Linked DNA regions of Astyanax mexicanus. The protein of the gene in region 1 purifies or fractionates together with the protein of each later gene. This does not show direct contact. Links are inferred from orthologs where the notes say so. Each region holds a gene or a part of one and is shown on either strand. Other genes may lie near its edges.

Evidence for each region.
Region 2: the proteins of mtmr2 (region 1) and mtmr12 purify together in Homo sapiens (affinity purification with mass spectrometry; 5 studies listed by BioGRID and IntAct, with this or other methods). This does not show direct contact. The link is inferred for Astyanax mexicanus from reciprocal best matches to the Homo sapiens genes MTMR2 and MTMR12.

The regions. Positions count from the first base shown.
Region 1 is NC_064408.1:38,192,734-38,199,808, forward strand, and holds the start of mtmr2 (myotubularin-related protein 2), read right to left. Parts: upstream 3,023-7,075; 5' UTR 2,863-3,022; coding exon 2,798-2,862; intron 1,435-2,797; coding exon 1,338-1,434; intron 1,165-1,337; coding exon 1,144-1,164; intron 1,014-1,143; coding exon 950-1,013; intron 573-949; coding exon 478-572; intron 86-477; coding exon 1-85. UniProt on the Homo sapiens protein: Lipid phosphatase that specifically dephosphorylates the D-3 position of phosphatidylinositol 3-phosphate and phosphatidylinositol 3,5-bisphosphate, generating phosphatidylinositol and phosphatidylinositol 5-phosphate.
Region 2 is NC_064429.1:14,739,983-14,747,401, forward strand, and holds the start of mtmr12 (myotubularin-related protein 12), read left to right. Parts: upstream 1-4,419; 5' UTR 4,420-4,530; coding exon 4,531-4,599; intron 4,600-7,419. UniProt on the Homo sapiens protein: Acts as an adapter for the myotubularin-related phosphatases. Regulates phosphatase MTM1 protein stability and possibly its intracellular location. By stabilizing MTM1 protein levels, required for skeletal muscle maintenance but not for myogenesis.

The DNA of each region.
Region 1 (7,075 bases):
AGACATCTCCTCGACTGGACGCGCCGCCAATCTTATCCACTCTGCTGATCACTCCTAGTGGCAAATCCAGCACAACGCCAGGCTCCTACACACACACACACACACACACACACACACTTAAAGCTGCAGTAACACAGTAACATACTGCTACTTGATCGGTCATAAAGAACCTATAAAGTTTACATGGCTCTCATCATGGACATAAATGGCATCTGAAACCAACACAGGGTCAGAAATATACAAAGTGAACATCTTATATTAGTATATATATATATACACGTACATACATTTTAAGCAACAAAAGTCACAACAATGCAGTTTGTAATAGGACTGCACAGTATATCATTTTAGCATTGTTGGCCTAATGTGTGTAACAGTCACATTGGAGAATGTGCAATAGTTTTAAATGTGGTCCAATGCAAACTAGAAGTAGTGAAAGTGCTGATAGTATCTGCAGTTCATGATTATGTGTATTACCCTGTTAATTCCTCTGAAGAGCAGTCTGTAGTTGGTAACAGTAAGTGTTCCCCGCAGAGCTCCAAGAAATGGACAGATGTATGTCACATCTTTGCCTAGACACAAAAAAAAAAAAAACAGAACTGAGGTCAGTAGACCACATGCAGCAGACCTTAAAACAGGGTCATAAAAGGGTTACTTTAAAATCATACCCAAAATTACACTTTACTTTTACCTAAACAGTACTCTAATAAATTACATGTTTGCATATTTGTAATTGTAAAATCTTCTTAAAGTGCTAAAACAGCAGAAATTATTACAATCTTTAAAATATAAGTGTCAGATAGCATATCTTGTTGAAAGCTGTTACAGAACAGTTAGTGTCCTCCTCCAAGTGTGTTGAGCCTCAATGGTGCTTCTGGTGTTTCAGAGCAGCCTTAACCCAGAATACTTAAAATTATATCTGTTAAAGTAATGTTTATTAGTGCCTCACCCACGTCCTGCACCACCTCCTTTGGCAAGAGCTCAACATCATCCTTCCCTGAGTCTCTGAATGTCTGAGACAAAGACAGAGAGAAAGAGAGAAAGAGAGAGAGAGAGGGAGGGAGAGGGAGAAAGAGATTATAATTTCAAACAATATGAGCTTGTTTTGTGTATTAATGTGTAAACTAGGCAAACTAATACTACCTTTGCAGGCTTTCCCTTCACCTGTGAAATACAAACACACATTTTAGTTAAAAATAAAAATTCAGGACATAACAATATAACAATAACAATAATGAGCTTTAGAAAAGCTCTACTTATAAAATATACATATTATTATTCCTAATTTATTTATCCTATTTAAAATATAATGAAGAACTAATAGTTATGATTCTCACCCGTAGCTGGGGTGAAAGATCACTGTTGGAGTTTTGCTCTGAAGAGATTGATGGGCCTTTGGTCTGAAAGGACCGATCTGACCGAGATGTGGAGGAGCTGTGGAATAAATAACTTGGAATTACAAATGTAATACACAAACACATGTTCTGTGCCAACAAATTTGAGCAATCCAGCTTTAAAAGTCTTTCCTCTCTTTTTGTATGAACTGTCTGAATGCACATGAACACAGTCTGCATGTTAACACAGAGAACAGGGAGACGCAATCCAAATTACCTCAAATTGCAAATATATCAAGACCTATTTACCAAGACCAAGCAAAAAATTGTTATATTCACCTGGTTCTCCCTATTGGAAACTATTTTAATAAAAAACAGGTGAACCAAGAGTGATGCTAGGAGTGTGCCATATCATACTATACACAAAAATATCCCCCAATTTTTTAAATACCATTGGCCCAAATGGACTATCAGGGTACAACTGTTATTGTTGTTTGTAGCAAAGTGGAAAATTCACACTATTCTCCGTCAGTCCTGGATATATAAAGTATTAGCATCACTACATGTTGGATCATTGACTTCTGTTACAATCTCAATTAGGGCTTTTCCACTTCATATTGTATGCAATAATTTCACCAAATTAAATGTAATATTCACTGTGTTGCAGTAGTTTGTTCTTGAAATCAACTTTTCTTTAATTCAATGTTTTGTATACATAACGTCACATCGCTATCGCAAAAATACTGTGAAGTATCACAATATTATTTTAGGGCCAGCCCAAAGTGAAATGTACCTACGGTTTTCATTAATGAAAAGTCTTGTTATAAACATGACAGGGCATAAAAGTCATATTAAAACCTGTTTTATATATATATATATATATATATATATATATATATATATATATATATATATATATATATATATATATATTCTGTATTTAAGGGGGCTTTAGCTACTTTTACTGGAGTAATATTTCACCCTGGGTATCTAGTTACGTTTATTAAAGAAGCTAGATACAAAGTGTATGTGCCTTTTACACCACTGACAGATAACTTAGTTAGCTGTGGCAGATACTTAACGAGGTACAATGTAATTGATTTAATGACACGACAGTTAAATGGAGTGGCTACTTGTCAACACTAGCTAGCTTAGCTTAGTTAGCTAACCTATAAGTGTTGCTATAGGTACAATGATAGTTAGCTGAACATGTAAATAAACTGACATTATCAGTTAGCTAGCTCAGTTAGCTAACTAGTTAATTAGCTCCAGCGGAAACCTCCCGGTTAACCGGGGTCTAGTACTCATTAGTGTTTCTCCGTGTAGCAGAAATATTCTCCAGTAGTGGGTTTTAAACTGTTTCTGTGAACTCCGCTGTGTTTTTTCCAGGTAATCTGTGTTTTTCCCTCAGTATTAGCGGTTAGCCGCGTTAGCTCGCTGCTGGCTGTAAGGGGCGGAAGTACCTGCAGAGTGAGTCCAGGCTGGGCTGCCTGGAGCCCGGCGACTCCCCGTTAGAGCCCGGGTCCATCAAAAAGGAGAATCACCGAGTCCTGCAGGGAACCAGCGACTAATCCAGCGATCAAACCAGCATTTAGATCCGCCGACCTCCTCACAACCACAGCTACAGCAGATCAACACACACACAGGAAGCTGCCATCTTTACCCACAGTCCCCCTCTCTCCCTCTCACCTCACCTCAGCTCACCCCAGCTCAACTCAACACTCTCTCTCTCTCTCTCTTAAAATGTGAAACTCATAAATACATGTATTACACACAGAGTGATCTATTTTAAAATCCGCATTTCCACAAGTTGTCAGCAGAGAGTACTAAGGTATTCAACATTTTTGTACTTAAATATTGCAAGTAGTTTATTCTAAAATGTACAACTCAAGTACTGAAAGTAAAAGTAGTAGTGTTATGAATAATAACAGAGAGCAGTCAGACATTTAAATTTCATATTGTTTATAATATTTTCAATATTTAGGCTAAAGGGCATTTACAATATATTTAGCTGCAACACCAGCACAAGCACATAAATGTACAAGTTAGAGTACATGTACATCATGTCTTCAGTCAACTCTCTAAACATACTTACCCAAAAGTCATTAGGATATTTCAACCCATTTTGCACAAAAGGTCACTAGTCGGTCTATCACTATTGTAAAATCAACTTCAGCTGTCAAAGGACAGATGCGTGTTTTTTAATTTTAATGAGTAATGATGCAGCACTCAAAAATGTATCAGTGTATTATTATACTCATTGAAAATATGCATTGACAAAAGTAGAGGCAGGAGAAAAAAATAATACTCCAGTAATTAAAGATTTAGTTCCTCAAGTATAATTTGTTAACAGTATTGTGCAAATGTTTTAGGCACCTGTGGGAATTTCAGTAAAGAAAAAGCTTCTTTCTGTGAAGTTAGTGTTTATCAGCTCAGTAAAAACACTAACATTACAATAAATACAAACAGCAATTTTACCAAAAGCAATGCTTTTACAGCACTGTTTACCTTAAAACATCTTCTAATCTCTCCTCATCTGAGAATCTGTTCATTCACAGTGAGTTCAGTTGGGTGTACTACAGCAGAAAAACCATTACAATGTGCATGGCAGTGGGTCTCCCGGACTCAAGATCAGCTAGGCATCCAGAAAAAAAACAACACACCCAATGTTGGCAGGCTAGCTCGTTAACTAGCTTTTGACCAGCAATTTGTGCAATAATTGTGTACTATTTTAAAATATTTATAAAAAAAGACTTGGACATTTACTACAACTTGTACTACTGCAGTTACTACTGTTGGTGAGCAGTGCAGCCATCTTGGATTCTGAACTCAGGGTTAGTAACCCTCTTTGAGTTTTCCAGGTAGAAAATATTTTAAATTTCCTACTTGGAACGTCCAACATCCAAGTTCAAAATGGAATGCAGCACGTTTGCTCCTCCCTAAACTGAAAAGATGAAAAATAAAATAATAATGTAAACCAGTTAATGGTTTACTAAAAAATAACATGCGGCTTGTTGTCATTGCTTGTTTTTGTTCTCTCTGAAAGATGTCCATTTTTTATGATTTCTCTCTCTTTTTACGCGTGCCCTGCTTTATGTCTAAAACATGCAGTCCCACTGTATAACTGGTGTGTGTGTGTGGATGTGCGTCAGAGTGTTAGTCTCTGTGCTGTGGTGGGTGTGTATCAGCGGACTGATCTGAATGGTAAAAAGAACAGTACAAGCAGCCATTGTATGCTAATGGTAGCATGGGAGCGGCTACAGCGTGACTGCTCTTCATTAGCAATGCAAAGTCGCTGAGCTGTATCATAACAGCCCTCTCTCAAACTCACACACATCAACCCTTTCTGCACTGCTGTTAACTCCAGCTGCTCCGCTTCTTTCTCAGCACGGACCCCACCAAACCACAGGTAAACCCCCAATCTTATCTACAACTACCAAACAACCAACACACCATTCTAAACTACCAATACAACACTCTCAACTACAACTACCCACCACTCTCACTTGCAAACACCCACCACTTTGACCTCCACCTCCAACTGCCAATCACTCCTACCCAAACTACCCATTACTGTCACCTTCAACTACCCACCAGTCTCACCTCCATCTACTGACCACCCTTACCTCCAACTACCCACCACTCTTACCCCAACCTCAAACTGCCCCTCACCCTTACCCCAACTACCCACCACTCTCAACTGCAACTACCCACCACTTTGACCTCCAGTCTCCAACTGCCAATCACTCTTACCCCAACTACCCATTACTCTCACCTTTAACTACCCACCACTCTCACCTCCAACTACCCACCCCTTTGACTACCATCTACTCACCACTCTCATCTACATCTATCCACCACTCTCAACTGCAACTACCTACCACTTTGACCTCCATCTACTCTCACTTTCAACTACCCACCACTTTCACCTCCAACCTCCAACTGCTAATCACTCTTACCCCAACTACCCATAACCTCCATCTACTCACCACTCTCACCTTTAACTACCCTTCACTCTAACCTCCATCTACCCACCACTCTCACATCCAATTACCCACCACTCTCACCTCCAACCACCCACCACTCTCACCACAAACTACCCATCACTCTCACCTCCCACTACCCAACACTTTCATCTTAAAACTTCCACATTAAACCCTTTAACTACCCACCAATCTCACCTTCATCTAATCAAAACTCTCTGCTCCAACTACCAACCACTCTTACCCATTGCTACCCACCACTTTTAGATTCAACCTCCAACTCCCCACCACTATCACATTCAACCTCCCAACTCCCCACCACACTCATTCCAACTACCCACAACTTTCACCTCAAACCTCCAACTACCAACCACCTTTTCTCAAGCTACCCACCCAACTCACCCCAACAACCTACCAGTCTCACCTATAACTACCAACCACTCTTACCACAACTACCAATTATCATCTCCAACTACCAAGCACTTTCATTTAAGTACATCCACCCTTACTTCCAAATACCAATCACTCAAGACCTGCATTCTAACTAGCCTCCATTCTTACCTCCAACCTCCAACTACCCACAAGTCTCCTCAAACTACCTACTAAAACTTTCACCTTCAACCTTTAAAATACTGAGCAAATAAAAAATTGGTGGAATGAATATGAAACAAATACACATGTAAAATTTGAATGGTAATCCTTGGTAATCCTTGGTAATCCAGGCTGTAAGAAGCAACCAGGATAGTTTGGATGCAAATGCAAGGCAGGTTTATTTATGCAAAAACACCAGCCAAAATCGCTGTCAAAAACAGGTAGAGATAAAAAAATAAAATAAAATAGAACACAAGGCAAAATTCATAGTCAAAGAGCAGGCAAAGATCAACAACCAAGAATAACAAACAAAGTATATAATGCTTGATAAGAGTGGCAATATCTTACAACTGGAGACAGTAAGAGAACCAGTATCAATAGTCCAAGTAATCAGTTGAAGTCTTACAGGTGTATGGAAGAGGTGGAGTCAGCTTATTAGTACTCCGGAGAGGCTGATCTAAAAGGTGCAGTGTGTGCAGGTGTTACACAGGCTCTTCATGCTGTAAACTACACTTTATATCTGGTAACTACCTCCTCAGGCCACATGATTTGTTCACTTTTAGCTTATCCAGAAAATCACGTGTAAAGTGTTTCCTTTATGGGGCAGTGCAATGCTGCTTTACTGTTAAAGACAGAAGCCACATCAGGGCCTGTTATGAAGCCAAGCATTTTTAGGCATTGGAGGAGGCCAGACTCATTTACATTTGGATCAAGGATTGGTGCAGCTTGATGTGAAGTCAAGGTGCAAACAGAGAAAGAAAGCTACTGCAGCTAACCCATTTGTTTGGCTGAGGAAGTTTTCTATACATGTTGGTGAATCTGTGAGCAGCATGACTTTTTTGCCAGGAACACAGTCCACTAGTTGCAACAACTTAATCATTTTCATTTTTTTCTAAAACGTTTTGGCAAAACCCCACTGTAAAAAGTTTCTTGATCTGACTGTATTCTATTCTATTACATTTCAACTGTTGAATTATAGCAAAAGAATCGCACATGTTGAATGTGAAGTAAATGAGGTACAGGATGTACCCCCCTCCCCAAACACACTGTTGGATTGTCCAGACACTCGTTGACCCTCGCGTCACATTGTGCAAAGGGGGCGGAGAACTGACTAAGTGATAAGGGGTCACATGGGTGTGTGTTCTTAAACAGTGGCAGCAACAGCCA
Region 2 (7,419 bases), on another chromosome or scaffold:
GCTAGCTAACTAACTTGTTAGCTAACATAGGCAGTTTGATATGTCTCCAGTTTAGTTTAGCATTTTTTAATGTCTACAAGGGATCTATGTAGAGCTTAGATTTTCTGCCTGAACCCAACTTGGGTCGGGCTCTAGAAAATAGTCTGAGATGTAGGCATCTGCTTTTTTAATTATATATTTTTTATATATAAAGCTCTGGCGTGATAATCACAATATAGCTACGTAACCAGTTTTTATCGTTAACCAAAACGAACGAAATAACCAAAACTGAAAGTGAAAAAACATTTTTTTTAACTGAAACTAATAAAAACGGTAATTAAAAGGAAAAAACATCTAACTGGAACTGTACTGTGCGTTTATAAAACAAATTGAAACTACTGATAGAATACCCTTCGTTTTCGTGTTGTGTAGCCTGAAAGTCTTAAAGGCTAAAGGCTAGCCAGCAAAAACAGCTTCAATACGCTAGAGCATTTTAGACCACATACCACTAATGACCCAACTACAACTTCCAAGTACCACCTACAAGCCATTTCACTGAAACACAGTAAGATAGACATGTAATCCACATATAAATGGTTCATGCCATATCCTTTGCCAATATTTCTACACCTGTTGTGTGAGCTTGCCAGTGTCTGTCTGTATGTTAGTTTGATTAGGTACGTTTCTTGATTGATTATTGTTTCTGGTTAAAACAATATTCATACTGAGAATCTCAGAAAGATTTAGACAGAGGAAACAAGAGTACCAAGCAGTGAACTGCAGTGTTTACTACCTGATTTAACTATGAAATGGAATGGAAAAAATGCAATCAACTGTTGATTAATATATCATATCTTGTGGCGTACCACAGGGTTTAGATCTAGGACCAATTAAGTTAAAAACTGAGGTTAATAATTATAAAACTGTACATATGAGGGTGAAGGACTGAAGTGTAGCTTACATACAGGTTCTAATAGGTAAAGCACTGAACACAAATACATGTAATGTTAAGAAAATTACAGGTGAAAATTACTTAATAGATTTCAGTCCTTAATATTTTAATGCAAGCATTTTCTGTTTTGTGAGCTATGATCTGGGGTTGCTGCAGATGGTCCGGTCTAGGTTCAGCAACAGTATGTGCTGAAAGAATGAGGTCAGCTGACTACCTGAATATACTGAATATGGACCCGGTTATTCCAGCAATTAATTTTTTCTTCGCTGATGACACAGGCATATTCCAAGATGACAATGCCAGGATTCATGGGGCTGGAATTGTGAAGAAGTGCAGGGTTCAGGGAGCATGAAGTCCAGACCTTTGGGAACAGCAATGAGAATCTTTGGAATGTGCTTTAAATCACATCATCAATACAATCAAGATTTTGTGGAAATTTTAATAAAGCTCTCTGGACATGAGTAAATGTTTGTGAAAACTAAAGGCGGTCCTACTAAATATTAGCATGTGCCCTTTTTTGCAGAGGAAGTGAATATTGAAATTATTAGAATAAAATTGTATAAATAAGTAACTTATGAGTTTACGTATGTGTTTATTTGTCTCATACTTTATTTAGAACTTTATTTTACGTGTCTTTTGTTGGTTTATTATTTTTGTCTAAAATCACCCTCAATACTCTGAGCTGCTCTGAATATCTCGTGTGAATAAATGGAATTCCTGTTTATAGTATTTGGACTGTATTGGTTGAACATTCCTCTTTCCATGTTTTTGATCAACAGCATAATCTGAGCATGTTGTTCAGGAGGAGGAAGGATATGTGAGGAGAGAGCGTCCTGCCTGCTCACGCCGGCAGTGGACAGGAAGAGACCGTTACTGCTAACGTCTGCAATGGAAAATGACTCTGAGTAGCCCTGCCGGGGACCTTTTTTCTTTAGAAAAAACAAATGCCAAAATATCCTTTTACTGTCTATTGGCAACACTGTGCAGCAATGGTACTCAACCATTGAGTAAATGAAGAGACAATGTTTAGAAAGCAATACAAATCTTTTGAACATCTCAACAAAATATGTGCATTAAATGGAAAAACCTTAAAATCTTTCAAATGGGTGACAGGCCCACACATCACATATCTGCCTTAGACATGAATAACTCCATGCTGAGTTTGCTGTTATCTGGGTTTGTAAGAGTTTTTTGGTAAATGAGTGCATTTACGGGAGTGGTGAAAAGTAAAGTAAATTAGACTCCCACATACAGTGTAAAACATGCTAATTCTTACATAATGCAGCTTAAAAGTGACAGTCCATAAGTTTGTGGTTAGAAAGTTTTAAGCTTGTTAAACACCCATCTTGTTTGGGTCTGAACCAAAATAGCAGGTTTAAAAGGGGCCATGAACCATGGTCTGAACCAAAGGACTAGAGTTTGGTCCAACCAAAAGAGGTAGTCTGCTTAGATCTACTGAACCATGGTCAGATTTGTCTGCTGTGTGAAAACAGTTTTCTAGATGGTTCAGAATTTTAGACCAATTACAGGAATTTGAGTAGGTAGAATTTACCACTTTTAACTACATGTTGACAAGCCATAAGCTTCTGGGAGAATGTCCTATGGACAGTTGAGAAAAAAATGGGTCGTTTTATTTACGCACATCAGCTCAATGTTTACAGACGGAACAATTAAGCATGTATAGAAAAGAACACTGTCCCTACTGTGAAACATGGTGGAGGAGGCTCTGGGGCTGCTTTGCTGCATCTGGCACAGGGTGTCTTGAATCTGTGCAGGATACAATGAAATCTCTATCAAGAGATTCTAGAGAGAAATGTGCTACTCAGTGTCAGAAAGCTTGGTCTCAGTCGCAGGTCATGGGTCTTGTAACAGGATAATGACCCAAAACACAGAGAGAGCTAAAAGCACACAAGAATGGCAAAGAGGAAAACACTGAACTATTCTGAAGTGGTCTTCTATGAGCCCTGAACTAAATCCTATTGAGCATCTTTGGAAGGAGATGAAACATGATGTCTGAATAAGTCATAATTTTCAAACCTGAGACAACTGGAGCAGTTTGCTCATGAGGAGTGGGCCCAAATTGTGCATCAAAATATTAAAATAAGGGTACCATAATTTCTGTCCAGATCTGTTTCATGAGTTTATTTATTTTTGTAATAATTCTGTTGAAGCATGGTAAAAAAGCAATGTCTGACTTTTTATTTGTTCATTTTCAAAGAATTTTTATTTATTAATTGTCAGATTTTATTTTATTAATTCAGAGGTACCAACAATTTTGTCAGAAATCAGATAATAATATAACATCGGGGAGGAAATAGGACATAAAGATTCAGATATCCTTATATTTAACAAGCTGGGAAAATACAGTTTGATCAGTACTCTTTTATACTGACCTTACACCTAATAATTTTCAAGCGATTTCACTGTCGCAGACAAATTTCCAGAGTCTTTCTAGAGTCGAGTTGTGGTCGCCTTATCTCGATTGTTCAGAGTAAGGTGGTTAGGATTGAAGGTTTTAGTCAGTCATTTTTTTAGTCCTGGTGTTCAGCTAAAATCAACTGTGTTTAATGTTATCGTAAGTCTTAAGATATTAGACGTGATGACGTGAACAGTGTCAACCAATAGTAGAGCAACAGGAGGCAGCAAGGCAAGACTATTTTACATGACTGTTTACAAACGATTTTAAAAATAAAACACATTTTGCAGTTAATATGCCCTAATATGGTTCTTACTTTAATATGTACAGTATTTTAAATACAGGTAGCGCTTTAATGTCATCATTGAATTAAAATATATTATTGTGCACTACTTTGTCTTATTGTGCTGTGTTATTTCTGATACAAACAAGTATAATAAATACACATTTTGCAAGAATGTTCTTTATTGCTATGATTCTTTGCTATACAAGGTTGTAGCAAAAAGGGGGTTTAAAAAATATCAAGACTAACAGTGTGGCAGAAAAATAAACTGTTGATGGGAAGTAGTCTCTGATAAATCAAAGTATTGATATATAAACATTATTTGTAATTTAATATGTAATATGTATTGTATATTAACTCCATCTTAGAAAGAATCTAGTTGCAGTCTTGCAATTAGTGATCCCTAGTCTTTGCTAAATCTTAGCCTGTGACTAAAAAGTCTGTCTTTAAATATTTGTCTTTAGATGTGACAGGGTGTCAGACTAGTCTGTTAAAAGTATTTTTTAGATTCGTGTAGCGTATAAACAGCATAAGCTTGTAAAGCTTACTATTTTCTCACAGTTTTCTGTCTGTCAGTGAGAAAAATGGCTCGGTCTCAATGAAGGGCGTGGCCGCACTCCACACGGCGCGTTATTCGCTCCCCGCTGAGGAAGTGCCGCCTGAGTGGACGCTGGGATTTGATTGACAGCCGGGCGGTCCAATGAGGAGGCTCGGCTCCTGCGCACCAACAGCTTGGTGAATATTCGGCTGTGAGGAGGAGCCAATCCGGCGGGCCGGGCGCGGTTTAACAGGTTACTACTCTCCGAGCGCGGAAATCCTCCCGGAGCTCCGGCAGCGAGTCCGAGCGGCCGCGGGTTCACACCTGACCGGATCCGGCCCGCGATCAGCAGCGCCGCCGCGATGTTGAGTTTAGGAGGCGGAGGAGCGAAATCCAGCAAACCGTCCTTCGTGTCCTACATTACTCCCGAGGTGAGCGCGCCGTTACCGCTGCTAACCCGACTGACATTAACTAACACTAACATAACATTAACTAACTAACACGGCTAACTACCCAACTACCGAGCTCCGGTGTTCTGTCGAGTTATGCTACCCACCGATAGGTGCTTTTTACAGGACTGCGCATGCGCTGAACTACACTTTTTTGTAATGTTTTCATGTTTTTCACGATAATTCCTTAAGTTTTTATTGTGAACATTAAACAACCTGATTGAATGTTAAAACACTGCAAATAGCAGTTAACAAAATAATAATAAACTATAAAACTATATAAAAATACGTTTTGTAATCACATATTATATGACCTTAACATTTTACTTTACCTAAAACAGTGATTTAGCCTGGCCACATATCCTACCTAAGCTTCTTGCTGAGAGTATTTTCTAATATGGCTTCTAATAAGGTGCTTTTTTGGTACTTTTACCTTTTTTTTATTAATTAAATGCTACTAGTGCAGCGCGGTTTGACAAGGTAGCACAACTCGACAGAACACCGGCTCCGATCCAAACACAGGAGAGAAGTGACCGGGGGGAGTGAACACGCCGCGGTTTGGACAGCAGCCCGAGCTGCCGGAGGGGTTAAGGCTAGTTTAGTTTAGTTTAGTTGTGTTTAGCGAAGCTGCAGATAAACCCGAGTTTAACCCGGGTTTAGAGGAGTATTAGAGGTGTGTAAAGTGTCCTACAGAAACTACAGTTATAGCAAGGAGTTTATAGATGAGAACAGTCTGACTGAAACAGGCTGTTTATGTGGTTTATACACTCCTAACACTCTCACACCCAGTTTATCACTGACTGACTGACCCACTGCAGCTTTATATATAGTAAACAGCTCACAAGACTCATTCACTCACTAACTTACTCACTTACTATAAATACAGGCCTGTTATTAAAACGATATTACTTTCATTTTAAGACCACTTTATGCCACACTTTATGATACCATGGTAAAATAACAGCATAATAATGCATTAACACAATTACTTATAAAAACTGCTGTTCATTCTTATTATTATACATAATAAAACACTTTTTAAGATACTGGGATTTGGGTATAATATTTATTTAAATCCAATATTTATATATCCTAAAGTTTAGCATAAATAAACAAATCCAAGTTCTTTAAACAAAGTCAACATGCCATCTCTCTAAGTAAACACTACAGGCATTACTGAGCTCAGCAATAATGACTGAAACACACCGTCTCATTCAGTGTTTTTCAGTGCTTTATTTCTTTCTTTAATTAAAAGACATTAAATATTAAAGATCTGTCCTCAAAGCTAAATGTGCTACTTAGAAAAATCTAAAGTATAAAAACATATTCTGTTTTGTTTAACACTTTGTTTACAGAATAATTCCAAATATAGCTTTAATGTCTTTAATATTAATTTTACAAAATGAAAACACAATAAATGAGAAGAGGTGTGCCCAAACCTATGAATGGTACTGCATATTCTAAATAAATGTAACATAAATAAAGAGAGAGAAAAAAAAGAGACCATTTAAAGGTGAAGATGGATGATCACAAACCATCACACCGAGATAACTTATCCAAAAGCAGTGTGTAAGACTCGTGGAGGAGAACATGCCAAAACGCATAAAAACTATGATTGAAAACCAGGGTTATTCCATCAAATATTGATTTCGAAATTCTTACAATTTTATAAATATGAACTTGTTTTCTTTGCATTATTTGAGGTTTAAAAGCTCTGCATCTTTTTTGTTATTTCAGCTGTTTTTCTTTTTCTGCAAATAAATTCTCTAAATTACAATATTTTTATTTGGAATGTATGAGAAATGTTATCTGTAGTTTATAGAATAAAACAACAATGTTAATTTTTCTCAAACCTATACCTATAAATAGCAAAATCAGAAAAACTGATTTAGAAACTTAAGTGGTCTCTTACTTTTTCCAGAGCTGTATTATATATATATATATTTACAATATTATTATTATTATTATTATTATTATTAATATATATATATATATATATATATATATATATATATATATATATATATATATATATATATATATATATATAAAATAACAATTGTAGAATGTAAAACAGGAAGCAGCTCACTGCTCAGGATGCCACTGTTCCCACGGGATGTCCTTAAGTCATCTCTATGTAAATAAACAGGCCAGCTGTTTTTCGTTCCCTTCTTTCTCTTTATGAATTCATTAATTCTATTTAAAACCTAATGATGATTTTTTTTTTTTTTTTAAACCCCTTCAGGATATTTGATATATTTGTCATTAAATTAAGAGGTGCAATCTGAAGGTTTTGCTTTGTGCCCTTTTTCCTTACTCGTCGTTTTGTAACCACAAATAAAAAAGTAGTCTTAATGTGTAACTTTTTCTTTATGCTTTAAGAAAATTGTGTCTTTTGCTATTTTAGCATATATTTTAAACATGTTTTCCTTAATGGAGTATATTGCAGGCAATTCTGTCTTCTTCTCTCCTTTTCTGTTATAAAAACATGATAAATATGTTTTCCTGAGTCTGTCTTAGATTAATAGAATTTAAAACACAAACATGTCATCTGGTAACTCATCTCTCTTTAACTCAGAGTCTGCACTTAGAAAATTGCTGAATTTTAAATGTACTGGTAGTTTAAATGATGATTTAAAAATGCACTGTGACAACAAACAATGCAAGGCCTGGTAGACCACTAAAACTGTCCTCATCAAATAAAGAGTTTGGTACTGACTCATCATGCACCACTCTGTGTAAGCCTTGTGATAAATGCACAGGTAACACACAGTGCTACTTGACAGTAAACATAACATATAC